Alligator mississippiensis: one gene and its partners. The protein of the gene in region 3 purifies or fractionates together with the protein of the main gene of each other region. This does not show direct contact. Links are inferred from orthologs where the notes say so. Each region holds a gene or a part of one and is shown on either strand. Other genes may lie near its edges.

Region 1 (10,431 bases), on a different chromosome or scaffold from region 3:
AAAAGACAAGACTAGTGGCAGGGTATTTCCCCCACACGTGGTCTTCAACTTTGGAATTTGGTCAGAAACACCAAAACCTTGTTTAAATTTCAGAGCACTAACTGACACTTCTCAGGCTTTGCCAAGAAGCAAAAAATGGCAAGAGGAATCTTTAGAGAGCGTGGCACCATTCCTTCCAATATGCTTGTTTGGTTGATTGGCTATGTGACGTGTCTTAGGATAGACTTACCATTATAATTATTTTCTACAAACTACATTTTTCTATTATGTTCAAGTGCCCATCCAAGTACTAGGGGGTTTTAAGTCAAAACCTGTAATTTCAACAGGTTAATATGCATTTTAAGCACAAATATTGGATGCGCCTGCATGACTCAAGTCCTAAAGATGCCGTTTTTCAACACTAAGTTCCATGGGCAACTGGTGCACACCCCACCCCCAGTTGGGGGGGGCAGCCTAGAGTGGCATGAGGGAGGCAGGGAACAGTCCCCCAGCAGCCAGCCGGCAACCAGAGGAGCCAATTTTTAATTTTTATTTGGGGGGGGGGGGGGGGGAACGGGCACAGGCACAAGCACTCCCCATGCCCCTCTACCAACCAGAGTGCTCACTGTCAGAGCGGGCACCAGCGCTCTCGTGGTCGGGGGGGGGGAACGACTCCCCTATTCATCACTTATGTTGCATACAGAGGAATAACATTGACTGGATTCAACAATGGAACTGCCTTCTACACTAAAGGATGTATTTTTGCCACCAATGATTCAACATGAGCTTTTTTTTTTTTTTTCCTTAAGGCAGCAAGGTATTGCACACTAAACACTTTGAAAATTATTGTGCAATGGACTATAGGGCAGCACAAACTGCCCAGGAAGAAATGCCCCAATTTCTATGCTCTCCCATATCATGCAGCTCATCATAACAGGAAAAACCCAGAGTCAGCTAAATCGCACGTCTGTTCCTGCCAAGCAGAGTTTTCCTGGAGGCAATGGAAACAAACTATAACAAAAGGAGGAGTGTTGTGCAAATCAAGAGCTCTGGAGTTCCTCTCTTGTGCGTAGATTTACCATGGCTTCCTCCCCACCCCCCTACCCGAGTCACATTTGTTGTTGGAAACAGGTCAACAATTTCTATCCTGGTGATGAAGACTGGTCTACCCGATCAGTTAAATTATCTACAAAACTGGTTCAAAAGGACCTGTTAACAAGAGTCTACTATATTACATAATTGCCTTCCATCTTACAAGGGCTTGTATGACCTTGGGCAAACCCCAGACTTCAGCTTATGTAGCTTGACAATGGGTGTAACCATTTCCCAACAGACAATGTTGTGAAACTTAAATATAACTGGTAATGCGAGAGCCTCACATAAAAGGAACCACAGAAATAAACATTATATTGTTTTACACCAGTGATCACAAAATAGTCATGAAATGGCTTGGAGAACATGATAAATTGACCAAGCACCCATACTCCTCTGCTGCTTCTGGGGTGTTCTGAATAAGGGCAAAGATAAAGAAACAGAAAGAAAAGTAGAAACCCAAAGAAGCAGTAAATACTGTACCAGAAACTGGCTGTACAGTGGGGGGGGGGGGGGGGGAGAAGATTGGGGGTTTTTTTCAATACTGGAGTCTTTTTTTTTTTTTTTTTTTTGAAAGGAGGCAGGGAAAGTGAATGCAGCTTACACAGCTGTATCTTGTAGCAATTTAGCTTTGTCATCATGCTGGAAGATTCTGTTAAGGAATTGGTTCTCAGCTTTTTTAGGCTCAAGACACCTCCTTGGAAAATGTCAGCTCTTGGTTTTCTGTAGTCAAATTGAGTGAAAACTAATAGAGCCATTCTGTTGCAAAGAACTCAGAAAGACCTCAACAAGTCCAAATGCTTTTAACACCACAGATTCCTATTTGAAATCTCTAGGTTTCACCTTGCAAATCATGTTTGCATGCCTAACTGAATTAACACTGTTTGGCACCCTGCAGCACCCTGGAAAGGATATTAAGGCACCCTACCTGCTGTAACACCCTGGTTGAGAATCACTGTTAATACTGTGCTTGGGAAGAACAAGTAGACTTTGTGCAAATGCAAGCATGCTCTCCCAAACCACAAAAATTCTGCAGAGAAATACTAAAGGAGGCCAGTGTTTTACCAGAGTCAGAAGGTGAGATGGCTCCCTGTGTTCTGTGTCTCAGCCATCACTTCACAATACATGGAAACTGTGTTCTGAAAATAGACTACAGCTTCTCAAGCTTTTTTTTTTATTCCCCCCCACCCCAAGCAAAATACTTCCCCCCCTCCCAGACTTCACTGCAACAGTTTATATAAATAGCCTCAAAGATCTCTTACAGGTAAATTAAATAAAATACTCCCCCTCTCCCCAATCTAGACATTGTACTATTTTTTTAAATGAAAACACTAGGTTTCAAACTATTTAAAATTTACATTTTCCTTCAGCTTTCTGAAATGTTAACCAAATGACTGAGGCCTGAGTACGTACATTTAATCTTAGCAACCGATTGCTTTGCTTTACCCATACATAAACTAGCCCAGATTTTATATACAAAGAACATGTGTTTATAGGATTCCCTTTCGTAACTGGTAATGCTCAAGGCACCACTAAGCTTGCTTCTGAAACCTCAAGGGGGGGGATATAGAAGAACTAGAAGAGGTATAGAGAAGAAAAACAAAGATTATCAGGGGTATGGAAGGGCTTCCATAAGAAGAGAAACTAAATAGGCTAAAACTTTTCAGCTTAGAACAGAGACATTTATTTCAAGGAAGACATGACAAGTCTACAAAACATTAAGTGGTGCAGACATAGTAAATAGGGATTTCGTATTTAATATTCCTGACAATACTAGAACCAGGGGACAGAAAATGAAGTTACTGGGTTGCAGGCTCAAAATTAACAAGAGGAGGCTCTTTTTCACACCGTGAGCAATCAGCCTGTGGAATTCACTGCCAGGAGACATTGCAGAGACTGGTAGCTTACCCCAGATAGAAAGGAGAAACCTCATCCACATTAAGGTGCTACAGAATTAAAGCACAACTATTCCTGAGTAAATCCACATGTGAACACTTAACCCAGAATGAGAGTAACTATATTTGGAGATATTCCAGAGCAGCTATTCATTTTTCCTTTAGAAGTGTCTCTGGAAAGCAGCTATTTAACTGCCATCCAAACCCATGGAAATTCGGTGCCATTTGTGGATCCACCCTGCTACCGACTTAATTGGTTGCGCAGCATTTTCTCTATAATTACACAGGCCCTGCCATGGACTAGGATGACCAGTGAAATATATAGTGCTATCCAAAGCTGTCCTGGGGGGTTGGCAAAACAGGGCAACCGTCCTGGGCAAGTCACATCTGGTGCTATCAACGGTAAACTCCTTTGAGAGAGGCATTTATGGCTGACTGTATTCTACATCCATGGCACACAGGAAAACCTGACATCAGGGATTCTCAAAGTCAGGGTGCCGTGTGATCCTCTGAAGGGTAATGCAAGGGGTGAGGAGAGCAGCAGAGAAGCAGACCCAGGCTGGCTGACCCCCCACCCCCATGGCCCAGGCTCTCTGCAAGGGGGTAAGCACTGTAAACACACAATAGTTTTTAAAATGAGGCACTACTCAATTTACAGGAGTTATGAAAGAGCCCTCGAGTTCAGCGAGGCTGAGAACTACAAGTCAATTTAGACAAACTTGCTACAAACACCGTAACCCCATCAAGCCACCCTCCTCTGCGGGATTTGCAAGTCCCGAGGGAACAAAACCCCTCAGGGGCTGTGAGACTCGCAACCAATTAGCAAGCAGTGTTATCTGCACAAACACGAAGGACCACAGCTCTCAGGGCACCGCTCGCTCACAGCACCGGCTGGCCAAAAACAAGATCAATAGTGCAGGTCCTTCGTAGGAGGACTCTTACCGCCGTCTCTTGAGGAAACCAAGAGTTCAGCAAAGGGATGGATGCAAGGCAGGCTCCTGCCCGTCCCCAACAAAAAATGACAAACTTGAAAAAAAAGCAGCTGATGACAGAAGGGACTCGCGCTAACCCCCTGCTTTCCACGCGGGTCACTGCTGGAAAACCACCTCCCACACCGCTTTTAAATCATCCCCCCAAAAGTAGTGCCTCCGATACATCTCCGGGGGGGGGCCGTGACATGACAGGCGTCACCAGGCTTCCCCCCACAGCTAAACCGCCCCCTCCATCGCCATCCCCCAGCTCCGCGCACAGAACACGTCTCCACCGGGGCAGTTGCCAGCCGGGCTCGCCCGCGTCCTGCCCCCCCCCGTGTCAGCCACTTCTGCTCATGACTCAATTCCTGCCACATCCCCCCCGGCCCTGGCACCAAGTCACCCCAAATCTGGCAGAGAGGGAGGGAGGGAGGGGGGAGCTCCCCTGCTGCCAGATGTCTGGACCTGTGAGGAGCTCGGGGCGGGGGGGGGTCGTGGACCAGCCTGAGGACGGGACAGGACGGGACGGGACGGGACGGGACAGGACGGGCCCGCCGCCATTTCGCGGGTGCCTCACCGAGCAGCAGCAGCTTCACCTCCTTGGCCGCCTTCTCGCCGTCCTCGCGCAGGTTGCGGTCGATCATCTTGCTGCGCTCCACCGCCGCCTTGTCCTCGGCGCTCAGCGTGCAGCCCATGGCGGCGGCGGCGGCGGCGGCGGCTCTGCCTCTCCTCAGCCCGGCGGCCCGAGCTGCTGCGGGCGGGGCGGGGCGGGGCGGGGCGGCCGGATATCCGCTCCGCCGCCGCCTGACGTCAACCGGCGCTGCTGCCGCGGCCTCTGCCCGCGCACCGCATGCTGGGAAAAACACTCGCCCCCACCGCGACCTATCGGGAAATAGAGTCCCGAGCCGTGGCCGCCCACACGCTGCATGCTGGGAAATGGAGGCGTGCGCCCTGCATGTCGGGAAATGGAGTCTTGTGCCAAGCTTTGCCATTCAACGTATGCGCAGGTGGGGACTGGCTCCCTTCTGCCTCCCCCCTGAGCAGGGGGCCCACGTGCTTCTCCCACCCCCCTGCTGGCCCATGGGCACAGTCACACCTTCCCTGCAAGTGGGTGCAGGAAACAATTTCTGGCCCATTCAGGCACCTCCGTCCTGCGGGGTGGGGTGGCCTGGGGAGACTGGACAGGGTTAGAGCCCTGCAGCTTGAGCCAGCAGAAAACCACCCTCCGCCGCAGCCATGAGGGACCCCCGGGGACCAGTGGGCCTGTCCCGCGTACACCTGCAAGAGTGCAGGGCAAGAGGCAGGTCTCTGGCGTGCACAGGCACACCTCATTCGTTCACAACAGCCATGGCACCGACGCAGTCGAACGCCAGGCAGCCTGCCTGCAAATCCTTAGCTTCATCGTGCAAGGGAAGGGTGATAGCTGCTTTGCTGACGCTAAGGCCAGCATGGGCCATACCTTCACCGCAGAGTAAGGCTTGGAGCCTTAAGTGATCCCACAGCATAGGGGTCAGCCTGTAGCACAGGCAACCTGTGTGTGGGGCATGTGGCAGACTGGGAAGCTCAGTGGTAGAGCAGGGAGCAGAGCAGCAGATCAGGGAGTGCAGGGATGGAAGCAGAAAGTGGAGCAGCACACCAAGCAGGGGAAGGACAAGGGATGACACTTGGGAGGGTGTGGGGCTAATTTCTGGCACACCTGCCAAAAAGTTTGCCTCCCCACCTCCCCTGCCGTAGCACGTCACACCAGCACTGCTGACCCCGGCCGCCCTGCTTGCCTAGTCCTTGCTCTTCATGCTTTAGCACTGGTGCGCTAGACCCAGCCTCTCAGCAGCACAGAGCTTGATGGTGCATTAGCTGGGGCCCAGGCCTCATGTTTGTCAGCCTGTCAAACTAATCCAGCTTGCCCAAGTAGAGTGTCCCAGGGGTCGGTCCTGGGGCTGTTTTTGTTCAGTGTCTTCATCAAGGACCTGGAAGATGGCATAGAGTGCACCCTCCGCAAGTTTGCAGATGACACCAAGCTGGCGGGAATAGTAGATATGCTGGGGGATAGGGATAGGATTCGGAGTGACCTAGACCAATTGGAGGCTTGGGCCAAAAGAAATCTCATGAGGTTCAACAAGGACAAGTGCAAAATCCTGCATTTAGGACAGAAAAATCCCATGTACAGCACAGGCTGGGGCTGACTGGCTGGGCAGCAACTCTGCAAAAAAGGACCCGGGGGTTACAGTGGACAATTAGCTGAATATGAGCAAGCAATGTGTCCTTGTTGCCAAGAAGGCCAACAGCATCCTGGGCTGCATTGGTAGGTGTGTTGCCAGCAGGTAAAGGGAAGTGATTATTCACCTGTATTCAGCACTGGTGAGGCCACACCTGTGGACAAGTTGGAGAGAGTGCAGCGAAGGGCAACAAAAATGGCTCGGGAGCTGGGGCACATGACTTATAAGGAGTGGCTGAGGGAACTGGGCTTATTTAGTCTAGGGAAGAGAAGATGAGAGGGGATTTAACTACCTGATTCGAAGGAGGATTCAAAAGAGGATGGAGCTGGACTGTTCTCAATGGCAGCAGATGACAGAACAAGGAGTAATGGCCTCAAGTTGCAGCAAGAGAGGTTTAAATTAGATATCAGGAAGAATTTTATTACTAGGAGGGTAGTAAAACACTGGTACAGGTACCCAGAGAGGTGATGGAAGCTCCATCCTTGGAGGTTTTTAAGACCTGGCTAGACAAAACTTTGTCTGGGATGATCTAGATGGGGCTGATCCTGCCTTTAGCAGGGGGTTGGACTAGATGTGACCTCCTGAGGTCCCTTCCAGCCCTCATTTTCTATGATTCTAGCGCTGGCAGACACCTGCTGTGCAGCACAGAGGGTACAATGTGCGACTGCGTCAGAAGACTCATCTTCTCTTTCCTAGAAGACTGCAGAGGGGTCCAGTACCAGACAGGAACCCTTCCATCTGCAAGAGATTTTTGTCCTGAGTCTGGTGCTAGTAAAAGCCCCAGGCTGACATTGCCAGTGCTAAGAGCCTGAATCCTGTGTGAGATCAGGTACTGCTAGGGTTGTAACATGGCAAGCCTTGTTGCCATGTTGCAACACGGCGGGCCCTTCTCCCCAAGTCCACTGCAGCCCCAACTGGATGAACACTGGTGTTGCTCAGTTTCTGCTGGCTCACACGCAACAGTACTGAGCAAGTAACATGCAGTGGCAACATCACACTCTGTTGTCTTTGGTAACTGGAAGAAAAATGGGCCTGTGGAAAGCAGATCTGTCACCCCTGAGCCCTGGGCTGGGGCCACAAAGTGTTCAGTGCTGAGGTTACCTGCCCTGGGGCCACTCAGTGTCTCCTGTCCTGACTGCGCATCTGGGGAAGAGTCCAAACCAGGGGGAACCAACCTGCAATACACCAAATACACTTTACATGGGACAATGCACTAAGCTACAGCAACTAAGCCACAGCTACAGGTGGAAATGCAGTTAGGAATTCTGCAAGCAAAAGGTCTTCCTTGCCCATTGCAAAATGCCCAAGCCATGCTTTCCTCAAGTATGAACCTTGATGCCCTGACTAACTGCTAGTGTTGTATGCCTTTCCCTAGAGATCTAGGATCTTGTAGCCTACAATGCTTTCAAGCCATCCCTCCCCACGTCCTGGTAGATAACTATGCTCAATTCCACATTAGCAACTGGAATACAGCCCCTTTCTTTTATTCAGAAAGAGGTGGCTGGTTCTGGTGGCTATTCCCAGAACAGCCCCCACACAGGAAATATTGTGGCTGTCACCATCCTTCCCCAATCTGTTCATCAAACAAGAAATGTATTGCCATAAAGAGCCTTCTACCTCCCTCTGCTGCTAAATATTCTCCATGACACCTGGAGCCAGAAGGAAATTCCATGATGGGCTCCTTGGATTCCATAGATTCCTGCTAAACAAGACAAAAGAGAAAGAAATCTGGAGCTATCCCAGCAATGGCTGGACTAGAAGGTGCCTGAAAAGGAGACTACTGGCTAGAGACACCCAAGCTTGGCCAGGGTGAGTAAGTTCTCCCATTGCTGGGATCAATACAGAGGCTTCGAGCAGCAAGGAAGATTTACAATGAGATGGAAACTCACAGAGAAGAGACCAGGCAAGGAGGTTGTGCTAAATGGATAAGAGCTACAGAGGAGAAGACTTGCACACCAGCAATCCTGGTGGGGCACTGAAAAGATCTTGAAGCCCAAAAGGGCCATGCAACACTTGTAAAGAGGGAAGAGCTGTATGCTGACACCCCCACCACTGCTTTGGTCAGCTTATTTAGGAGGCAGGGGAGGGATGTGTGCATCCGGGTGCATTTACAGCATTTCCAGATGCTTTCCTCCAGCCCTGATTGTTTTAATCAGGATGGAGCTCATCAGAAGCAGAGTCTTTCCTAGGAATGATGCCAGGCATGAAAACCCTCATCCCCAAACCCTTTACAAACACTTCCACATCAATTCAGCCACCAGTATGATGCAGTCACTTCTGCAGAGAAGAACTGGTGAGCTGCCCAATGATTAAGGACAGCTGCATCTGTATCCAACTGAAACTGCAAGGTAGGGGAACAGGGAGGGGTAAGTAAACTGCTGGTACTTGACCAGGTGAAATGTAAGCAGGACCCCAGGGACATTGGTTCAGTTCTGAGTCAGAGAAACAGGATCACCTCCAGGTCTGACTTATCCTAGCAGTCTCCCATGCTGCTACTGAGTCCACAGCACCTGTTAGCTGATGCCACCAGAGCTCAAGACATGAGCTGTGCTTGCTACACCCTTCTAGGAAGGCAGTCCCCACACACTGGGCATGGTGGGGAGAGTGCAGGACAACAGAAAGGCCAGGACATGGGAGAGGGAAAAGGAACAGCAACATTGCTTAGAAGCTGAAACGGCAAATGTAGGAACACTTCATGCCTGAAGTGAAATGAAGGGCACTTCATGCCCCCTTATCTAACATCTCTCCCAGCTCTATGCCTGGCCCCAAGAAAGAAATCACCAAAAAAAGCCCTTGCTCCTGCAACGTTCCTGGCACTGCTGTGCTCGTAGTGCCACCTGCCGACTGTGCCCTGGAACTGCAGGTAGAAAAGATGCTCAATCAGGGTGCCAGGGCACCCTGGGGTGCCACCAGATCCTTTGAAGGGTGCCACAGGGTGTGGAGAGATAAGCAGACATCCGTGGGCTCAAGCTTGTCCCTGCCTGGCTTCTCTCTCATCATCACTGCCCAGCCCATCTGCAAGGAGGTCAGCATGGTAGTTTTTTTTAGTTAGTTCAAAAGTTTTTTAGTTAGTTCAAAAGTTAGTTTTGAAATGAGGTGCTATTCAACTCACCAAAGTTATGGGGAGAGCCTCGAGTCCAGTGAGAGGTGCCAACATGGTTGAGAACCACTGATATTGAGTTTAAAAGCAGAGGTCTCCCCCCTTGGAAATCAGCCCCTGCTCTCTTGCTCATGGGACAAGGATATCACTAGGACACAAACAGGAAAGAGTGAACAGTAGTCTCTAACTAGAGAAGGGCCTGTTGGCTAGGAGTGCATTTTCAGGTAGGTGCTAGGGGAAGATGTCAGCCTGCATAGACAGAGCAGGGGAACAGCCCCTTGGGAAAAGAGGACCAGAGCCAGGACAAGCTAGGACAGACTGGCACAGTTTGGATGGGAGGGGAGTTCTGGGTGGCTCAGGGGATGACCAGTGAGCTGTGCAGCTGGCTCATATCCAGACTGGGCTGGCAATGACAATCTGACAATAGTAGGCTATTTGAAATGCACAGGTTGGACACCGTGGCTGCGCCTACACGAGACGCTTACTGCGCAGTAGCTCATTAGTACTGTACAGGAGCGTCGCAGGGCATGAACTGTGATGCGATGCTACTGTGACACGATGCTACTGTGCAGTCAGGATCGCCGTGAAGCCATGTGGGGATGCTACTGCACAGTAATGCTGGTTACTGCACAGTCATTCAGTACTCAGGTATGCAAGTACTAAATGACTGCGCAGTAACCATCTCATGTAGATGCAGCCAGTTTGCTCCAGTTGCCATCTGCTGGCAATCTCAGCTCAGAGAGGTCATCACCAGCTGAACTCCCCTCTCACACAAGGAGGAGGCCCTTACCAGAGAAGTGGAGTGGAATGAAAAGGGACTTCCAGAGCCCTAGCAGTGGTTCCCCAATCCAGCATGATGTTGACAAGACCCTCCCACAGCCACGGGGAAGGAGGAAGAAGGACCAAAGAAACCCTGCGGTCCTGAAAGGAGTGGCTCCTTCCTGGTTCCAGGCCACTGTCCTTCACAGCATCTCCCTTGAGATGGGTCCCTGTTACCCAGGTGAGGATGACTCACCACTCAGATGGCACAACACACGCTCTTTCCCCAGCTCTCGTGATCGACGGCAGCCCACACCCAGGGGATGAAGGAAGTGGTCTTCAGAGAAGGCTATTTTTGGAGTCCCTCCTCACAAAGGGATGAGTGATCATCAAGCAAGCACACACCCAGGGGGCTTAAA
Region 2 (10,666 bases), on a different chromosome or scaffold from region 3:
AATTTTTCTATCTATTTCTGGCATTAGAAAGCCCACCAAGATCAGAAACATCTTTGGTAAATACTGACACTTCAAGGGGGGGGGAAAATGGGCTTATGTTTGACTCCTCTCCAACCTAAAGGTACAATTTGGGAATAAAATAATCCATTCTACACTGGACATGTGAAAACAAGCACTAGCCATATAGCATGACTGAGAGCAGAACACATACATTAATCATCTACTCGGGGCTGCCAAGACATTTTCTTTTCTTTCATTTTATTGTGACAGGTAACAATCAAGCACTAATGGTCATTTTGGCCCTCCTCCTGCAAACACTTACATCCATACTTAAACTTCACTCATGTGACTAGCCCACAAGCACTCCCCATATGAGGAAAGTTATGACCGTAAGTGCTTGCAGGATAGAGGCCTCTGTTAATGAGTACTATAAAGAATGGAAAATAGTATTATTTATGAATTAGCCATCTGACAGATTTCTAATTTTGCAAACCTAGTATACATTTGGTATTCATTGAAACCCTGACTATGCCTGGAACATATTTGATGGGCGTATCCACTTCATCTAGATGATTTTATCAGAGTGCTAACCATACTACTATACAAATAGGTTTCTTAGAGCCTGTCATCTCTACTTAACACAGGTGGAAATTCAAATACAAAGTGTCAAATGCCTTAGGATGTTATTTTTAGTATTATATGGATACGGTTGCTGCCCTGCATCTTATTTATACAGCAAACTCACCTAGCGAGCTGCAAATCCACAGGCCACTGTGAGCATGTTTATGTTGCAAACTACACAGGCCAACAGATGCAAAACTTGAACAAGAAAAAAAAAATCCAGCATGGGTTTTTGTTTGTACTACTAAACATGCCACACCCACCACATTCAAAAGCTTTAATAAATATTTAAAAATAAATAGGGGGATGAGTATCTTTAAAAAAAAAAAAAAAGCACTACAAGAAATGCAAGTATTGTGTTTCAATTTCTACCAAGTTGCTTGTAAAGGAAAAACAAGCTCTAGCACATTGCACAAGTGAGGTTACCCATATACATGCTTCCATAAACTGGGCTTTTAGACCTTTCCCCAACTAAGCCCCCACCCCATTCTGCAAACAGATCCCAATGACTGAAAAGCCCTTTAAGTCAGGGAGCCATCTTTCTACCCCACAGCCACTGACCTCGATATGAGATCATGACCTAGCCGCCTTAGCCGCCTTGTCAGCCCTGACCATACCAGCACATCCCAAAACCATGGAGAGTTGGATCTATTTTTGCATAGTGAAATACCTTTAAAAAAAAAATCAATTTGTCTGGCCTACTAACAAATATACCCAGGGATTTTCCCTTAAAAGAATGTTAATATTCGTTGTGTGCCAACAATGTACCAAAAAAAAAAAAAAAAAAAAAATCAAGAAATTATGGCTTTGTCCATAAGGCACATTTTAAAATAGGCGATATTATTTATTCAGATGCAAATACATGGCTGCTCAATTTCACCATTGTTTCCTGCCACTCCATTTCCTCTATTTAAAAATCAACATCAAACATTTTCTATTTGCATTGCTTAAACCAGCAATGATTTTCTCTTGTCACACTACTTTTTATATCCTCTTTGCCCTTCACCCCATAATATTTCAGCTTTCCACTTCAAGTAAGTTTTTCTTTCACTATGTGAACATTATCTAATCCTAGGTCAGGTTTAAAAAACTGAATCAGGAATTGCTCTCCTTGGGCATTTCAGAAGCAAAATGAAACCCAATTAGGAATTCTTTTTAAAATGTGCTTACTTCCCCAAAGGCAAAGAACAGAGAGCTGTGAGATAGCTGGGATTAGTATCTGTAAAGTGCTTTGAAGACAGCAAGCCTTATGCAAGTGCTAAGTATTATCCTTATTAACATCAGACCATCCTAAATCTGAAAAGTCTTCAGGCTGGATTGAAAGTTTGCTGCCAACTAAAAAAAGGGAGAGAACAAGCTGAAAAAATATTTTAGGAGCAGTAAACATAGCAACATTTGCTCTGCAGCAAACTGCAGCCAATATCAAGGAGTACTGAATTCACTTTGCTTGTCAGGATACATTTTCCATGCAGCAATACACCCTTCAAAGTTATCCAAAAGGTGCCAAAGTTGAGGCATTTTCTCCCTTGCAAAAAGTATTTCCCTCCATTGGACCGTTATTTTAGCAATCAATGAAAATCAACTGATGACCCCTCCCTGTGGGCTTCCTCCTTCACAAGGGAGAAAGGACTAAGAAAGCAGGAGGATTCGTTTTCAGCCAGTTTACTTTTCTAGTTTGGAGAGAGGGAGGGAAGGAAAGGGGGCAGGGTAGGATAAGAGAAAGGAGGGGCAAGAGAAGCAGGTTTCTTGAGAGACAGTGCTGACCACAGCTGCAGGAGCCCTAGTTCCCACTAACCTAAGATTAAAGAGAGAAACCTACCTACCCTGGCCCTCTTTATACCTCCTGGTAAAGAGAGAATTGTGTGCCCAGTCTGACTGAGCAGAGTTTCAGAAAGGCAGGACTAAGAAACAAATATAGTTTTGCCTCCCTGGGCTGCATTGCCCAGGGGAGGACCCCAACTCACAGCTGGCTGCACTATGCAGTCATCACAGAAGTCAGAGGTGGAATGAGGGCTTCCAATTCCCCCCCCACAACCTTGTCACCATCACCCTCAGCAGCAGGCACCTCCCGCTCTGCCTAACAGGGTGTTCCCTGCCCTCAACATCAACAGCTCATCACCCACATCAGCACAAGTGGCACAGCTGGGAACCAGGCACTCACAAAGCTCTCTCCAGGACTGTTCATACAAGGGGGCGTTGGGGAAAACAGTGATGGGAATGCAGTTGAAGAGCAGGGGAAAAGCATAACAGACAGACAAGAGTATATTTGACCAGGGTCACTGGAAGATGAATATGGACAGATGAACAACGTTTTTGGAAGTGGGGAGAAAAAGAGAGTGTGGTGTGTCTGGATGGCTAGGGGGATATGTGGACACACAGGGTGGTATTTCAGGATGTGGATACGGTATGCTGAGGTGGAATGGAGGCTTGCTAGAGGGACAGGCAGCTGGGTGCAGAGGGACACCAGTGCAACCAAGAGAGAGGAGGTACCTAGGAGGAGCAAGTTCTTTACTTGAGGAACACAATGGGAGGAGTTGTTTTGGAGGCTCTGTCTGGCCTGAAAGTGGGGTAAAGAAGGACCTAATGGACACCATGGGGGTGTATGAACCAGAGTCTCAGGAGCACACTGAGTGGCGCGTATCTACAGGTTGTGAAGGACAAGTATGTTATTGGGGCAATCTATGGGAACTGCAAGCTGTACTTAGGGAGAAGTGAACAGGTACAGCTAAAGGCTTCATCTTACCCAGCTGGGGGCTGTCACTGGCCAGCTATGGGAGTTCACTGGAGACTGCAAGCCATGTGGGTGCATCTAAGAAAGGGGAGGGGTGGGGCTAGAAGTTTATCTGTGAGGTTGAAGGGATGCAGGTCCCCAAGCCTGGGGCATCAGGGGGTGCTTATTAGGTGCCTGGATTTGGGATGCCCACGGCAGCCTCAGCGCAGCTGAGCTGCAGCAGTGGGTGTCAAGCTCGGGGTGCCCATGGAGGAAGCGCTCAGGGGAGGGTTTATCCAGCAGCCAGGCTCGGGGCACCGCCTGGGATGCGGCCGGGGGGCGTGCGCGGCGCGGGCCGGGGCGGGGCGCAGAGGAGCTGGGGCGCGGGGCACAGGCAGGGCCGGGGGAGGCCGCGCCGGATGGAGGCAAGGAGGGCGCGGGCCGGGGCCGGGGCCGGGGCCTCACCGAGCAGCAGCAGCTTGACCTCGCGGGCCGCCTTCTCGCCGTCCTCCCGCAGGTTCTTGTCGATCATCTTGGACCGCTCGGCGGCCGCTTTGTCCTCGGCGCTCACGGTGCAGCCCATGGCGCCGCAAGGCTGGGCTGGGCTGGGCTGGGCCCCGGCCCGGGCGTGCGGCAGCGGGGGCGGTCAGCGGCGCGGCGCAGCCCGAGCCTCCGGCTGCCGGCGGGGTCTGAGCCGCTCGCTGCCGGGCGGGCGGGGCGGGGCGGGCGGCGCCCGAAACTCCTGAGTCAGCGCCGGGCCCCGCCCGTGGGCGGCCCCAGGCCCGGAGCCGCCCCCCGCCGCCGCCGCGCTCCCGCCACCCGTCCCGCGTGCCGAGCCGGGGGTAGGCCCGCCCGCAGCCGTGCCCCGAGGACAGGGGGCAGCTGGGGCCGGGGTCGCAGCAGCCCGACGGGGCTCCCCCGAGCGGCGGGGAAGCGCCGGCTCCCTGGGCCCAGACCCACGAGGCGGCCTGGGCCGTGGTGCGCGGCGGGGGCAGGGAGCAGAAAGCAAAGCAGGGGGTCGGGCGGGGGCCGAGCACTCGCACAGCGTGTGGGGCCCAGGTCGCCTGCCAGCAAGGTTGGCCCCAAACATCAGTCTTTGGCAGCTGTGCCACAAGGTCAGCCCGGTGCCCTCCGCGAGTGTCACATCCACTCCCTCCCCTGTCCTCCCACTCCCTGTGCCAGCTGCTGCTCTGCTCCCTGCTCTACCGCGTGTCACACACGTAGGCTGCCCATGACACTTGTGGCACATGCCACAGGTTGGCTGCCAGGATCTAGTCAATCAAGACATTCATCAGGGCAGATCACATGCCCTGTCAGCGACACCCTTCACACTTCTTACCTATTAAAAAGGTGCAGGTGCTGTATTCCTGATGCAAACCAAAGATGCAGCTCTGTTCACTTGGCGTAGACCCTAGATAATGCCTTAAATAGGGAAGCAACATAAGCACATGCAGAAGCCAATGATTAGAACGGTTCTAGCATCTCCACTGATGCCATGGCTGGGTTACAACAAGCAGGATTTGGAAACCTGTGAATGGGCAGTCACTTTTCAAACATCAGCGCATAACCAGAATCCAAGTTCTGCCTATTTCAGACACTAGACCTATCCATTCAATGGCAACGTACAGCTAGATCTGGCAGCAAGCATGACAGAAGAACCTTAGATCTGCTTTATACAAAGCTTTGTGTTAATGTAGCTATTTCATATAGGGGTTAGCTTTTCCTGAAATAGCTATAACAGTACAGGCCCTAGTATTGACAGAGGTTTGTTCTTATAAAAGGTGCTTAATACCCCCCACCCCATTCTTCTATAGCCTCCTCCTGCTCCTTCCTCCCCTAGCCGCAGAGGCTACCCAGCCTGGCTCCAGGCTATCTGTTGTCTCCATTTCCCCTCCATTCCAGAGGCCAACTACATAGCCATATTCTCCACATCTGTACAGCCTCTCCGTTTTCCCAGCCCTGAACAGACTCACTACCATGCCCAGGAATTCTTTCCAAGCAATCTTATTTTCCAATGTAAAATTTAAAGATGACAAACCATTCCCCTGCTCACTATAGCTGCAGTTTCTAGAGGTCTGGCATTGCTTTAACTGCAAGAGCCCAGCTCCCATTATGTAGCCTTTTAAATGAAAGGCAAGGATTTTGGGGGGTGATCTCTTTTATTAGACTAACCGTATAGTTGAGATAAAGCTAGAGAAGCTTTTGAATGCTTTGCTTTCTTAAGTTTGTTTAATTTTATCCCGGCTATGTGGTTAATCCAATAAAAGATATTATCCCCCAAAAATCCTTTTCTCTTGCATAATTCCTGGACCATCATGCTAACAGTACTATAGTCCTTTAAAGTCATTACGTGAATCCCCTCACCCCACACATGAACATATAGCTCCTTTGCAGGTGGATCTGATAGCTGAACTACACTGGGTCCCTGGAACCAAACATTATCTTGTTATACATATACATAGGAAGGTATGTTCCATCACTTTTATACCAGTTCACCAGTGTCCATACTTGAAGGGATTGTATCATTTTAATTGTACCAATGTTGCTAGAGATGCAACTTTCTAATATAGACTAAATTTAAGAAAGAAAATCAATGTCTTGTCTGGCCAGTCTGAGCACATCTCAGATGCAGTCATCAGACATGCTATCAAAACTGAGCCCACCATACTAGCCAATCAATGAAATTTTTTTGGTGAAGGAAAATACTTGATACCTTTAAAATATTACAACATACTGATTACACCAGCCCCTAGAAGGCATTTGGGCTAAACTGCAAGTCAACAAGAAATCCAGACCAGTTAGATTTTCCTTCTAAGATTCATTTGCTTCTGCTCATCATAGAAGCATAATTTTTCTGTATGAAATGTCAGTGTCATATATGTATAGTGAACCCCAAACACAGAAAGTAAGGCTCAAAAGAAAAGTGTTGTCAAGGGTCCATCAAATTGAGGCCCAAGAGAGAATTTTCATACATGCTTTGTTTATTTGTTAACAGTCTCAGTTTCAGATTTCCCACACCAGTGCCCCTACAGTTTTGATTGCTGGGCAGAACAAACAATTCATTTATTATTATCATCATCATCATCATCATCATTATTATTACTGTTGTTGTTATTACCATACCACATAAGAATCTTTCATGGACCATGTTCCCACTGTCAGGCACCGTAAAACACACAGAATATAAAACTTTTCCCCAAAGAGCTTACAATCTAAGTCCAAGACAAAAAATGACTATAAGCCTGCAGTTGGAGAGTACAAAGTGACAATGACAGGTAGTCATCTCAGCATATCAGCAGCCAGTCAATAGTGGGACTCCCTTTTCTAGCCTGGGACCCCCAACTGCTCTACCTTTGAGAAGCATCTTTCCCATTTAGCTATACAGGAAACCCTTGCTATTCGTGGGTTCGGCATTCACGGTTTCTAATATTCACAAGTGCTGAACCCACATTTAAATACACTTTATACACTTACTGGAGCTCCTCAGGTACTCTGCGCTTGCTGCCGCTGGGCTCCTGCCGCCACTGCTGTGCCCCCCCATCGCCACCGGGAACACTGCGTTCATGAACACAGTGCCTTATTCGCAGATTTCGCCATTAGCGGGGGATGAGAGAACATATCCCCTACAAATGGCGAGGGTTGCCTGTATACTATAGAGTAAGGTGGTTTTAACTCTTTTTACCCTGTCTGTGATCCCAGTCTGAGAACCCATGCTTGTCACTGCTTGCCAAGAGAAGCCAATTATTTTTTTGCCCAGTCTTCTGTTAGAAACTAGGATACTCACAGACAGTATACTTCCAACTTTTTTTTATTGTTTAAAATTGTTCAGTAGCCAAGTCTTGTAAGCAATTATTTGCCTATATTATCAGTTTATTATAAGAATTCAATATTTCAAGCTGCACTGGTTGATTTGGATGGGACACATAACATAACTCATGTGATATTGTTTCTATTCCCAAACTGGATGAGTAGTTCTCGTAGAATTTGCAAATAACCTGCCACAGTCATTGAAAATTCACTGTTTGCATCATCCTTCCTGCCAAGAAATTCATGTGCTAGAGTATACAGGGAATGCAAATGAACACACACGCGCGCACACACAAGCATGATCATAGGGAAAGCAAATTCTAGTCCCCGTGCTGCCCCCCTGCACTTGCAAGCCCTGGGGTAAGGAGTCTCCATATTACATGCCACCCTGGAGACTGGGCTATGGGACACCTGTAGGTTGCTGCTCTAAACCTCCTAGGGTCACTGTTAATATATGCTCAGACTGTTGTGATCTCTAGCCAGCCCAGAATCCGGACAGTACAAAGATAAAGCCACCTTGGTTCCCCGTTCCCATTGGTTCCTAAGAGGTGCATCTCAGGAGCAAACCCCAGGCATCTGACCAGAGGCCCATCTGAAAGTCCCTTCTTGGTGATCACAGGTAGGCCAAGAAATGAGTGAGGCTTCCTTTCCCTCTGCTCCTAGTTGGTTTCATGAGATCAGCCTCACTTCACTGGTATGTGCTTAGTACCTTTCCACCCTCTAGTGGTGGAAAGCCAAAGTCAATTTGGTCACTAGCTAGCAGAACAGCAGGGACTTTCATTTTAGCAGAAGGAACAGGGAGCAGGCCAGAGAGCTATACACCTAGACCTGCCCTGTTGATGGTGATTTGTGAAGGGTGTTCAGCTTGTTTGTTCAGGTGGATGTGCTAAGCTCTGGAAGAGGGAGTCTGGCTGGTGACTTTGCTATTTTACTCTCCGTGTCCCAGAAATAAGGCCAGAAAGCTGAGGTGATTCCTGGTGCTCATTTCCCCCCAGAAGAGTGGCCCAAACTCTGTTGAGCAAAAAGGGAATTTTGTCTTAGGAAAGTCTCTAGGATTTGACTCTAGGTTTTTCACTTGAGGTTGTGTGGCCTAGTGGACAGATCCTTGAACAGACTTAGGTACTCCAAAATCTGCTACTATCCTTTTGGCTGACCTTGGGCTACTCAGTTCACCTTGTGCCTCAGCTTTCCAACCTCCAAAATGGAGCCAATGCTACCAGACTCCTTTCTAAGATGTCTAAAGAGCAAATGAAACATTAGGTATCAATACAAAATGGAATTAAACACTTTGTCCCCTGCTTTACTCATCACATCCCAACAGCTTCATATTGATAATACACTAGATACCTCCTCCAAAACACCTACCAATGTTCAACATGAATGATCTGCATGGGCAAAGGTTTATTATCAAACAGCACTGCCTGATTAATGGCATTATTTTAATTCTCTGCTACAACAGCTGGATCCAAGTTCCTAACAGAGGAAAGGTTAACTGGAAATGGCCCTTGCAAACCATGCAGAGGTGCCCTGGCTGCAAGCCTCATCTCTGATCTCAAGCAGGCCTCACAGTTTGGCCTGGGACCATTCTTCATGCACTTCATTGGAAGGAGAGAACTCTGCCATGTGGTTCATCAGGATGAGAGAGTTTCCAGCTCTCTGAAGCCCCTTCCATCCCCAAAGGGGAAAGTATCTCTTATTGAGGGCAAACTCAAATTTCCAGTATAATAAAGAGTTGTTTATTCATTGCAGCTGGAGAAAATACCAACTGTAACCACTAGAGATGCACTGATACATTGGTCCGGTATCTGATCAGCACCGATATAAAGAAAATTGACTGTATTGGAAATCAGCCTGGTGTGGCTAATAAATGGCCTGTGCATATGCACAGCCACAACACAGCATGTATGTGGCGAGGAGCACAGCCCAGCGACTTGGAGAGCTGCGTCCAGCTGGTAAGTATGTTGTGGTGGAAGGGGAGGGAAGGGGTGTGAGGGGGTAGATCAAGGTCCCCCACAGTGAGGTAGGGAGTGAGGCTGAGGCAGGTGCTGCCCGGCTGGGGCAGGGCACATGCAGCACAAAGACATAGCTCGTCCTATGGCTGCGCACATCCTGGGAGAGCATAGGAGAGGGGGATGTCCCCAGATCTGGGCAGGGCAGGCTGCAGCTGTAGGGCTGGGGTCGGGGTTGTGCTAGGCTCTTCCTGGCAGGGGCTGGGCTGGGCTGTGCTCAGCTCAGGGCAGGTGGCAGCATTAGTAGAGCTACAGTGAATTCTGGGTTGGCTGCTGCAGCTCTCCCCCATAGCTCCCCGCCCAGCACCATCGCTGCCTGCCCCGAGTGCAGTCCAGGCCCCCCCCCCATGGTGCATGCAGCGGCAGGAGCCACAGCCCCTGGATGAGCCACTTGTGGCTGTCCCACACCCCGCCCTGCCCCGCCTGTGCAGCACCTGCCCCAGCCCCACTGTCTCCCTTGTCACAGGGGCCTCAATCTGCCCCCCCCCCAACCCTTTCTTTCTCCCACAACAGACTTACCAGCCAGACACTGTTCTTCAAGTTGCCAGGCTGCGTATTAGAAATTGGATCAGTATTGGCCAATAGCTGTTTTTTTAAAGGAGGCATAACAGTATCAACCCAAACAATCTACCAGTGCACCCCTAGTAAGCACGAAACTAAATATTGTGCTTTGTAGGCCAAGTGGGTATTAGTGAGAAGGACTCTGCTCGTTCCATCCCCAGAACACACCCTGCTTGCATATTTTCATCAACAACTAAATATTTTGCTAATGGCCTTCTCCTTCTGTCCCTTTCTTAATGTATGTTAGCTTAGGTACGTTGTCATCTCTCAAACAAGAAAACTAGGTCCAGTTCCCTTCTCTGCCACAGGCTGCTGGTGTGACCTTCAGCAAGTCACTTAGCCCCTCCGGTCTGCATTTGTAAAATGGAAATAATCACACACACTATTATTTCTCCCAGGAGAAGTACTTTAAATACTGTGAACAGTGAGCACCTACCATAGGTAGACAGAGCAAAAAAAATCTAGCTAGGCATTAAAAATCCATACAATTTGAAAAGAACAGTAATGTAATAAGGCTGGCTGCTTGCCTCAAGATACAAGATTTCTGTTAAAAGATGCTTCTACGTTTGCCTTCAGATAAAGTGCTCAATGCAGGGAGGAGCAGGAACATCACCAGGTGACCCACAGGGCCAGGCAAACCAGGGCAAGTTGTGAACTGAAGATGCTCACAACAGACAAGGGGTAGTGAAGAGTGGCTCATGCAAGATTTTTTTAAATGCAGTGGCAAAGGCTGACAGCTCCCTCTTTATGCCACATCCTCAACCCCTTACAACACCTTCAGTAGCAGGGTGCCAGTGCAAGAGCAGGTCCTACCAGCACTGCACTGCTGTTAAGCTCTGCCTGCCCATGGGGAAATTTTCCAGGGGGGCCACTATAAATCTACTTGGTGCCACCTGACTTGGCAGACTAAACCATCTAGCCTAGAGCCAGGCAGTGCAAGACAAACAAGATCCAGAAA
Region 3 (11,234 bases):
GGCCGTGTGTAGACAAAACAAGAGGCGTGTGCATGACACTTTCAAGAGGGCTAAATGCTTTTGCACCGCTTTAATGGTTTTCATAGTTGTTAGGGTCGGAAGGGACCTGAGCAGATCATCAAGTCCAACCCCCTGCCATGGGCAGGAATGAATGCTGGAATCAAATTACCCCAGCTAGGTGATTATCTAGCCTCCTTTCGAAGACCCCCAGGGTAGGAGCTAGCACCACTTCCCTTGGAAGATGGTTCCAGATCCAAGCCACCCTGACTGTGAAGTAGTGCCTCCTGATGTCTAGCCTGAACCTAATCTCAATCAACTTGTGGCCATTATTCCTAGTTACTCCAGGCAGTGCTCGGGGGAACAGGGCCTCTCCCAATCCCCGCTGGTTTCCCCTGGTAAGTTTATAAACGGCCACTAGATCCCCTCTCAGCCTTCTCTTGTGGAGGCTGAACAAGTTCAGGTACCATAGCTTCTCCTCGTAGGGCCTGCCCTGCTGACCCCGATCATGCAAGTGGCCCTCCTCTGGACCCCCTCGATGCTGTCCACATCCCTCCTGAATTTTGGTGCCCAGAACTGGATGCAGTATTCCAACTGTGGTCTGACCAGTGTCACATAGAGGGGAAGGATCACCTCCTTGGACCTGCTCATGATGCATCTGTGGATGCATGACAAGGTGTGGTTAAGCCTACTGACAGGGTTCTCACATTGCTAGCTCATGCTCATCTTGGAATCAGTAATGACTCCAAGATCCCTTTCTGCCTCTGTACTGACAAGAAGGGAGTTCCCCAGCCTGTAGGTATGCTCCTGGTTCTTTCTCCCTAGGTGCAGTACCCTGTATTTGTCAGTACTGATTCCCATCCTATTTTCATCCACCCACCCCTGTAACCTGTCCAGATCTAGTTGTAACCTGTCCCTCCCTTCTAGCATACCTACTTCTACCCACATCTAGGTGTCATCCATGAATTTGAACAAAGTGCTTTTCACCCCCTCATCCAAGTCACTGATAAAGATGTTGAGCAGTACAGGCCCGAGGACCGAGCCCTGGGGGACTCCACTGCCCACAATCCCTCCAGGTCAAAAATGACCCATCCACCACCACTCTCTGGGTGCAGCCCTCTAGCCAATTGGTGACCCATCTGACTGTGTAGGCATCAATGCCACAGTTGCCTAGTTTTTTAATGCGAATGGGGTGAGAGACAGACAGTGTCAAAGGCCTTCCTGAAGTCCAGAAAGACTATGCCCAACACAACACCTGCATCCAAGGATTTTGTGACCTGATCGTAAAAGGCAACCAGGTTAATCTGACAGGACCCGTGCCTAATGAACCCATGTTGGTTGCCCCTAAGCATAATGTCCCTTGCTGGTCCCTCACAGATGTGCTCCTAGATAATTTTCTCAAAGAGCTTCCCCAGGACTGAGGTAAGACTAATGGACCTATAGGTGTCGGTGTTTGCATGCCTCAGCGGCGTATTGTGCATTAATTCCAGCCGCAGTAGGAAATTTGGTGGCATAATGAGCCTTAAATGACTTGGGGCACAGCAAAATAAAATGCCTTCAAGGAGTTTTACTTTGCTGCCCCTACAGCTGCAGAGTGAAGCACTGGGCTCTGTGCAGCTCCACGGCTCTGCAGAAAGTCCTGCAGACAGCCCAGCAGCAGCCTGGGAAAGCAGTTCCGCCCAAGAAAAGCAGTGAGCCTGATCCCCCTCCCCCAGAGCCTGCCTGAGCTGCACAGGGGCCCTCCATGGCTGCAATGCCCCCTGGGACCACCCAAGCCAGGTGCCTATGGATGGGTGCCACTGGGGGGGGGCAGGCCACCACTGCTGCAGAGGGAAGCACCAGCCTTCCCTCCCTGCAGCCCAGGGACTGCTCTACTGGAGAGGCAGGTAAGTCAGCAGGGTGTGGGCACAACATGGAGGTTTAAAATCAGCCCTAAATTGAAGCGCTGTTCTTTAAAACCCACCGCGTCAATTTAGGGCCCTGGTTTCATCTACACACGCCCATTCTCTCCTAAAATTTAACTGTGAATTTATTTTTACTGTCTATCCAGTTGTTACACCTTTACTGGATCAGTTACAGCACTATCTGTTCCACCGTCTAACCAACTAGAATTTATGATCATAAGGGTACCCTTTCACCTGATCTATATGAGTCAGCTTTAGCCAGTAAGAGGAGAAAGGCAGAAGAAATCTGACAAGAGTGAGCATTAAAGTATGAGTGGGAATGTAACTGGGCTGTTGTAAGATGCAGAGCACAGAAATGAAGTTTCCAAGAGAAAAAAAAAAAAAAAAAAAATCAATGATTTCATTTTACCCTCCAGATAAACAAACAACAAAAACAGGCACAAAAAATAAATAAATAAATAAATCACAGCACTTGGTGCAAGTCTACTCCTAAGGACATCCAAATTGCTGATTCTCAACTGAAAAACTGAGGTACATACCACTTTTCCCACACACCCCCACCAGGAATATATCCTTCTTGCAAAAATCCCACAGATATAAACGACCTCCTCTTCCACCCCCACCCTTCAAGTAAATCAAGGAAAACTCATTAATTTGTCTTGGAGTTCTAAAATCTGATTATGATCTTGCACCAGTTTTATACTGTGCAACTCAACTGACTTCGGGAGTGATTACATCAATCAAGCAATAGGAGAATCCAGCCCTAAATTTTTAGATCAGTGGTAAACATACAGAAAAGCAGCTTCCTTTCATCTCAGTCACATTTACTGGCATTCCCTATGTGACTAAATGACAAATTAAAACTGCAAATTATTGTCAAGTAACTTGCTTAATTTTAGAAGGAAGTATGAAACTGTTCACACAGTATGAGTTCAGTTGTCTGGATTCAGATATTTTGCCAAGCTGTAGTACGACCAGGCATCTGACAGGCTCTCCCTTGAGCTGATGAGTTCAGTGGCATTAAAACAGAATTTCTCCAAGTTGCTCTGTAGTCTTTTACAACAGTTGAGACACAGGAAAAAAAAAAAAAAAAAAAAAAAGGTTGCGATTTTGCTGTATTTAGCAGGGCAGATTCTTATTTTTCCTTTTCCAGTGAAAGTTTCAAAAGAACTGTAAGTGCCCAGACACTGTATAATATGCACAGCAGCTGGGCTGACCTGATAAAGCAGAATGACTGCGGAAGTTAAGAACATAAGAATTGCCATTTACTGGCTCAGACCATAGGTCAATCTTGCCTAGTCTCCTGTGTCACACAGTGGCAAAGAGGAGATGTTGAAAGGGTATTGTACCTGGATGGCTGTGACACACATACAACAACAAGGAGTCAAGTCACAGTGATTGCTGTGTCAGCCATGTATGAAAATACTATGGCTACAGCTATCAAACACAAACTGTTACCAAGCTGTGAGCATAGGTACGATAAAGTGGATGGGGAAGGTCCTAAGTAAAGTTGGAAGCAAAAGAAGTGGAAAAGTACTGCGAAACACCAATAGAAGACAGACAGCACCATATACACATGGAAAGACAAAGCAGGAAAATGAGACACTAGCCAGACTTGCTGCTAGGATGCCAACTTGGCATGTGTGAATCCCAGAGCAGCCTTGGAGCCTGACTGACTCTCAGGACTGCTCTGACACTGAAGCTACCCAAGCATGATTTCTTGTAGATTGCCTATTTAAATTCAATGGCCTGAGCAGAAGACCTCCTTCACCCACTACCTAAAAGGTTAGGCAACAGGTATGACCAGGATGTTTTCTTCCCCCGCACTGATGCTCTCTCACTTGCAGCCTCCAGCATTTACTGTCTAAATTCCAATTCGGAGGCCGTGCCCCTCACTCCATGCTCAACAGCTACCAGGGCCCCTTTCCTCTAAGAATTTGCCCAGTCCCTTGTTTCGTTCCTGATTTACCAATAATCCGTAAAGCATGAGGGACTGATTTGGCAAATTATGGCTGGGCGGGGTGGCCTGGATAGGGATGATCCAGGCAGAGGGTTGGACTAGATGACCTGTGGAGCTCCCTGCCACCCCTACTGTCTGACTCTACACATTTGTTAATGAGTCTTAGATACCATGCATTTAGTTCAGTACTTCCTAAATAAAGTACTAACTGCGCAGCACCTACAGTTACCACGCAGCAGTGTCCATACACTGTTATTTGGTGGCGCTTACAGCGCATCAGACTACAACGCTGTGCACTAGGCTATTCGCAGGGTCTGTGCGCAGCAAGCATCTCGTGCATCACCCCACTGCCCTCACTTTTCCTGCCCCCTTGGAAACACCTTTGAGAGGAAAGGAGCTGTTCCACCTGGGGGCTTGGTGCCCCGGGCAGAATTTCACGGGATGGCTGCACGGAGGGACCGGCACTGAACTGGGGAAAAACCGGAGGGGAAAAGTTGCGCCGGGCCGGGCAGGCTGCTCCGCCGCGCGCCTCCGGGGCAGGGCGCCGGCCTCCGCGCCCCCCGCCCCGCGCCGCGCCGCGCCGCAGTCCTCGGTCGCTAGGAGGGCGCGGCCCTCTGCCCCGGGCCCCGCGGGACCTGCCCCACTCGCTCCCCGCCCCGCCCCTGCCCTTACCCGCGTTCCTCAGCTTCTTGTTCCTGCACACGGACAGGATGACCAGCACGTTGCCCAGGATGTCCACCACGATGGTGAAGATGAGGATGGCGGCCAAGGTGGAGGCCACCCAGGGCGGGCGCTGCAGCCCCAGCCCCGCCAGGGACCCGTTCAGCCCGGACGCGTTGGAGCGCATTGCCCCTGCCCGGCTTGGCTTGGCTTGGCTTGGCTTGGCTCGGCTCGGCTCGGCTCGGCTCGGCGGCTGCGGGCTGAGCCCCGTGGCCGCGGTTGCGGCGGGGCTGCCTCCCCCGAGCCCACATGTGCCGGGGCGAGAGGCTTTTATAGCCTCCCCCTCCCCGGGCCACGTGCGGCACCCGGGAGCCCCTTGCCGCCGCCGCGTAGCAACAGCGCCCCCCCGCGGTCCCGGGCCGCAGCAGCGCCCCCGCCCGCCCCTGCCCTCCCTTCACTCACTCCCGCACGGGCCGGCGAGGCAGCCGCGCCGCTTTCTCCGCCGCTCTGCAGTGCCAGGCGGATCCCCTGAGGGACAGGGACTGCAGCGCGGTCGGGCCGGGGAGGAGCTCCTCAGGACTGCTGGCTCTGCCGGGGCAGGGGGCGCCCCTACACCCCGCAGAGCACCAGTGCCCCTGGGCTGTGGGGTGGGCTGGCTGACAGCTAGACCTTGGACCCCTTCTGCAGTACAGCAGAAGCACAGTGGGATCTTTGGGCCCGGTTACACCTCGCACTGTGAGCCTCACAAATGCTGATGGGTGATGGTGGTAGCTTGGAGTTTGGAGCAGTCGCTTGCTTGGTCTAAAACAGGGGTAGGCAACCCCCGGCAACAGGTGCCAGAGCAGGGCATGCAAAGGCATTTTGGCTTAGCACGCACCTTAGGGTGCACGGTGGGAAAGAGACAGGGGATCTGCTGCCACTTGGGCTGCCAAGCATCCCGCATTGGGCGGAAGTCTACCGGAGTCGGCATCAATCTCCCAGTGACTATTGAAAACAATCTGGGAGATGGATATTGTGAACAGGTTGCACAGTACAATGAATGACATTATGCATTGGCAATGCATAGGGGGTTCACACAGGTGCACGTGCACCCGCTGATTCTGCCACCAACATCGCCGGCAGCATCTGCAGGCAGTCCACGATTGCTGCTGGCCACCACCGACACTGCCAATACTGTATGCAGGTGGTCACCGGTCGGCAGTTGGCCCCCCACTACCGACAGCACCGTGGCTGCCTGCAGGAGCTCCCCGCTTGCTGCCGCCCCGTTCCCACTGCTGACAGCGCAACCACTGCCTGTGGGAGCTTGCTGTGCCCCCAGCCTCCAAGGGCATATAGTATTCATAACATTATATCATGCTGGGGGAAAAAAAGTCTCCCAGAATAGTTTCAGTTGAGCTGGCAACCCTAGCTACCACAACAGGGATCAGGCTCCTTGCAGCTCCCCCACCGCCTGCCCCTGGCACGCCAAGTGGAGGTTGCAGGGTTTTTTGGGACTGCCCAAAAATGTTGCCAACCCCTGGTCTAGAAACTTTCTCTGATTGTCCCCTATCTGCAAAGCTGTGACTTGCCACTAGAGGCCTGGTGAGCAGGGAGAGGACTAGGAGCTGTACCTGTTGAGTTGCCACTAGAGAGCTGGTGAGCCAGAACAGGCTCCCATCCCTGCTCTCTGGTCAGGGGTGTAAGAGATCCTGGGATACTGGAGATCAACTTGGGTGGTATATCTGTGGAGATGGAACAGAAGCTGGGTAGTGCAAATCAGAGATAATCCTGCCCTAGAGTGGCATAACTTTGAGCTGCATAGTGAGTGCTTAACGCCACTGTAAGGTGTTAGGCTAGGGACAGACATTCAAAAAGCTGAGCCTGAATTGATTCAATCTTTGAAAGTAAGCCTAACCTGCAAGGTTTGAACTGATTTGGAGGTGAATAGACATTCCCTTTTCATTCCAGAAATGCAGGCACATGCCTGCGGTGGCTCAGGATAGAAGCTGGGAGGTGCTAGAGCAGCCCTCTATTCCCTTCTGCAATGCTGAGCTGAGCGAGTGCATGGCCAGGCCCTGGCAGGATGCTCTGATTAGGGCAGGGTGTAAACCCGCACCCTGCGTGCACAGTCCCAAGCTTTTACCCTGCTGGCTGCTCAAGGGGCAGGAGTGTTCCCAGACCCCAGTCCCAGGCTAGCACTCTGAGGCAAAGGCGGGGGGGGGGGGTGCACTGCATGCATCTGTTGATGATACTGAGTTTTTCAATCTCTCTGTCCTTTCTTCTTCGTACCATCTGCAAACCTGACAGATGAGGGAGCCAGCAGAGGGCTGATAACACAGCATTTATCAGCCCATCAACAAAACAAAAGCCTCTCTCATTAGTTCAAGCTTTTCTTAAACAACTTTTTCAAAGGAAGGAAAAGAGGGATATTACCAGCTGACCTGTTGATTAGCTCTAAAAAGCCCTATGCAGACACTGTTCTGTGTGCCTTTGTCCTGTCCCAGTGAAGTTGGAGACACACAGACACCTCTCAGCATTAGCTAGCATACCACATGCCTAGGGCCTGGGGTCCAGGCTGTGGGAGATGGGAGGGAGGAAGGGAAGAATCCCTGCTTGAGCAGCGAGAGAAGCCAGGCAGACCCTGCTGTGCCTGCAGTCTCCCCCACAGATCTGGCTAGGGAGCAGAGGGGTGGGGCCAGCCCTGCTCTGTGGAGCAGAGAGCACAGCCTAGCCCAGCCCAGCCCAGGGCTGCAAAGCATCTTGGAGGCTGTGGGACTCTGGTTTAACTTAAACCACGAAAGGGTCTGGAACAGACATTGCATAAACCAGTTTGACCCAAATCAGTTAAGTCTGTTCAACCGGCTTTATCTTAAACCAGTTTCAGACACTTTGAAACTGGTTTACGTGCACTGAATTTATGTTCTGTTACAGGTTTATACCAGTTTCTGATCACTTAAACCAGTGTATGTGTAATGTCTGTCCCTAGCCTTAATGCTCAGACAGTCCAAGTGTTATGAGCTCCAGGAGTCACCCAAAATTACCACGTAGCCAGGCCCTAATGCCTGATCCACACAACTGTGCCTCCTGCTATGCCACATGTACATGGCAGGAAGCGCACTTGTGGGATCGTGAATTAAATCCAATCTTGCCTTATTGTAAGTGTAGGGAGGGGCCCAATCCTGGGCTTTTCTTGCATCAGTGAGACTCAGGCACCCATGCCTAGGAACCTCCATTGCTGAGGGGGCCCCCAGCTGCAGGGGCCACTTGAAGCCAGGACTGAGAGTCCCCACAACTGACGGGGTTCTGGGTCAGCTGCACACGATGTGTATGAGGAACATAAAGCCCTACCAGATGCAGGACTCTCAGTCCCAGCTGCAGGTGAGGCGCAGCAAGGACCAAGAACATTGTGTGGGTCAGGGGTTTCATGGACCCCCAAGCCTTGGGGATCATGGCAGCTGTGATCCTCAGGGCTCAGGGGTTGCGCCCCTGTGGCTGGGAGCCCTCTCACCTCACAGGCTCGTAGCTGTAGGGAAGACCCTGCTACAGGTACAAATTAAAGCTTGATAGCAAACCAGCTATAAAAGTTAGTACACATATGCAAGGTCTAACTTGATAGCTGGTTGGAGCTTTTTATCATATGATAGCTACTCTTCATGTGTAGCTGGTCTCAAGGGGCATTTATACACGTACTTTTGTCTGCTCTGAGGCGCCAGAAATCCAGCGTGTCGGAGCAGACTCAATTAATCGAGTCTGCAGAGCACACAAGCTGATGTGCCCAACGCTGCGTCACATGGTTTTGTATAAATGGTGAATGCGCATCAGCTTGCAGAAAATAGTGGCAGTGCACTTTTGAACTAAAACACCTTTGATGTGTTTTCGTTCAAAAGCGTGCCTCTGCCATTTTCTCAGCGTTGACATTCATGTCACCATTTGTACAAAAATATGTGACAGCACCAGGTGCTTTTAAAAGTGGTGCATACATGTGTACAAATGCCCAAGGTAACTGCCCTAATGACCAGTTAATCACACAACACCTGTAATGTGTAGAGAGGGCCTTAAATGCTGAAGGCTGCAAGTGGGAGAGGAACAGTAGGGAAAAAAAACCCTGGTCATACCCAGTTCCCTCTCCCTTTCAGCATATCCTCTCTGTCACTATGTGATACTGGTAACTGGGCAAGATGGACCTATGGTCTGATCCAGCAAATGGCCATTCTTACAGCTGGCACCCACTGCCTCATCTCTGCATGGAATCCACCATGCTGGCAGCTCCTCCTCTGCAATTCAGCCTGCCCCAGCCACGGCTGCAGGGCATTCAGAGGCAGAATGTCTGACTCTTGACTCAGCCTCTTTACTTCCTTCCACAGGAGCACAGCAGACAAAGTAGAAAGATGTTGCCAAACCCTAGTCAAGTGACCTGCAGATATAGTGGATGCTACAGTAAGCACCCCTCATTCCATGCAAGCCATGGTCTTCTTAATTCCCTTCATTATGTGATAGTATGTCTCATAAGACTAAAATGCCTGAGCAAATCTATAGAACCTCAGCTGTGATTGTCATTATGGCAGTTCACACTGTGGTTTGCTAAATGCCTCCAAAGAGGATCAAGCCCTGAAAGTACTTGCACTGTCCAAGCAGCCATAAAATATATCCAGGCACTAAAATTATGCTTGACAGGTTAAGCAAGGTTCTCTTCTGCAATTGAAGCCTGCCAGGGGAAATGGGAATAGGAGCCTTAATGTTTTCTGTCCCTTTGGAGTGGGGTGCTGTGTTCTAGTTTAGTGGTTATAAGTCCACCTTGTGAAACTGGGGAGATCACTGCTGTTTTCAAATTGCATCGAAGGCTCTGTGTATACTCATCTGGGGTTAGGTTTTATGATTATACTAGAAGTTGCAGATTTGGCATGCCTTGATCCTGAATAATCAAAAGTATGAAGCACAGCTGTGTCTTGCAGATTCATGCACCCATTTATGTAAGGAGTCACAGAGCTTACAGGGAAGCTGCATTAACATTAGGATGAGCCAAGTCCTAGGAAGTGTGCGCAGCTTAGTTTGCCCTGTTGTTGATCTATCATTTATAAAGAAATGCAAATAAAAATTAACCTCCGGCAGCCCCAAGACATTCCCTGTGCAAGTGCAAGGGTTTTTTTTAATGTCTTGACAAGAAAGTTGTTAGAGACATGGATTTTTGTGGGTCATATCTTTTATTGAACCAATTACATGGCTGCAATAAAGTTTAAACAAGCTTTTGAATGCAAGGCATTCTTCATCAGAGTGGTATTTGCATTAAAATCCTCATCGGAGGGAGTGGGAAAGGGAGTGTTGCTGCCTTGCTGAAGCCTCATTTGCAACACAGCTGGGAAGGCAGTCAGAGCGTCTGCTTTTGAGGGCCATTGCTTAGGGCCAAGGAGTCCAACTGAAGGTTGCAGTCACTGAGATTTCTCAATGCCCTGTGGGATCAATCCCACAGAGATTTCTGAGCTGGATTGCATTGGCCTTACACAGGGAAGCTGCCAGTGCACGTAAGTGCTGGAACATTCATCTTTTATCTCAGGATGCAGAAATAAAGGAAATAAATGCCGTAGGACAGTTGCATTTACGGGAACACAAAAATCCCGGGACCATGTGGTGGGAGAAACCTCCCTAAGGTCTGTTGTCTAGCTGTAATTTGATTGACAGACAATGCGGGTAAAGAAAGACAGCTGTTTATTTGCTTGAGCAAAGACCATAAAGCCAGCAAAAGGCAAAATGCCCCCCCCTCAAGGGTGAGGCGATCTTTTATACTTCTTACAACAAAGCAAGACTATATGGTTAACAAAAAGCAATACTTGGGGCGGTGCTCTACAAATCTTTGTAACAGCATATTTCTATTAAGCTGAACTAGCACTTTTTTAAAAGCTAAAAGTTAAGTAACAGTAACATTATGTTAGCAAAACCTTACACAGTAGAAGATACTTCTCAAGGACACAACTAGTAAGCTCAAACAATGGTTTCTCTGTCTTATCTTACTTCTAGCTGTAGCTGATTTTTTTTAGCACACAGACACAGATTCACTTTTTAACTCAGAAAATGCTTGTTGCAGTTAAAATGATTACTTGACACAAGCAAAGGCCTAGCTATCATTCTGCCTTGTGGTCAGCTGCATTACTAGGCCACAGGTCATGCCTTGTATTCAGCTGTAAAGCTAATACTTCTTAAAAATCCAAATTATTGTAAACCTAACAGTATGCTTTCAGAAAACTATTCTATTTCAGGGCAATGACAAACCTGCGGACTACAACCACCCTGATGCTTGAAAGCACTCTTTCGTTAAAAATATGACTATGCTTTGATTTAAATTCTGAAGAGCAAAACAAGGTCTCTGCCCTGGTTATTGGCATTAGACAAGACATACTCATCCATGTCACTAAGCCAAGCTGGTTCTGAAATGGTTAGTCCCCTTTCTAGATGAAGCAATCCAGCCCACAATGCTTACAAATAAGAACTCATTAAGGGAAATGTAAAAAATACAGCACAGATTGGAGTCAGAGCTTTTTAAATCTTAGGGATTGGCTAGAGATCTGACAGTCAAGCCATTCATTCAAATAGTCTGGGTTATTCAAAGTGTAAACTGCAAAACCTGGTGCCGCCTCAGAGCCTGGCACTGTGGCCTGCATCCACATGAGGAGTTGTCAATATGATTAACACAACAAAGCAAAGGCTGCAGCTGGATAGATTAAGGTGGGTAACAGGTTTAG

What was found.
Region 1: the proteins of MTNR1A (region 3) and GNAI3 purify together in Homo sapiens (tandem affinity purification; 3 studies listed by BioGRID and IntAct, with this or other methods). This does not show direct contact. The link is inferred for Alligator mississippiensis from reciprocal best matches to the Homo sapiens genes MTNR1A and GNAI3.
Region 2: the proteins of MTNR1A (region 3) and GNAI2 purify together in Homo sapiens (tandem affinity purification; 3 studies listed by BioGRID and IntAct, with this or other methods). This does not show direct contact. The link is inferred for Alligator mississippiensis from reciprocal best matches to the Homo sapiens genes MTNR1A and GNAI2.

The regions. Positions count from the first base shown.
Region 1 is NC_081837.1:34,291,656-34,302,086, reverse strand, and holds the start of GNAI3 (guanine nucleotide-binding protein G(i) subunit alpha-3), read right to left. Parts: upstream 4,721-10,431; 5' UTR 4,633-4,720; coding exon 4,515-4,632; intron 1-4,514. UniProt on the Homo sapiens protein: Heterotrimeric guanine nucleotide-binding proteins (G proteins) function as transducers downstream of G protein-coupled receptors (GPCRs) in numerous signaling cascades.
Region 2 is NC_081835.1:43,289,948-43,300,613, forward strand, and holds the start of GNAI2 (guanine nucleotide-binding protein G(i) subunit alpha-2), read right to left. Parts: upstream 4,034-10,666; 5' UTR 3,915-4,033; coding exon 3,797-3,914; intron 1-3,796. UniProt on the Homo sapiens protein: Guanine nucleotide-binding proteins (G proteins) are involved as modulators or transducers in various transmembrane signaling systems.
Region 3 is NC_081825.1:68,921,849-68,933,082, reverse strand, and holds the start of MTNR1A (melatonin receptor type 1A), read right to left. Parts: upstream 4,861-11,234; 5' UTR 4,709-4,860; coding exon 4,534-4,708; intron 1-4,533.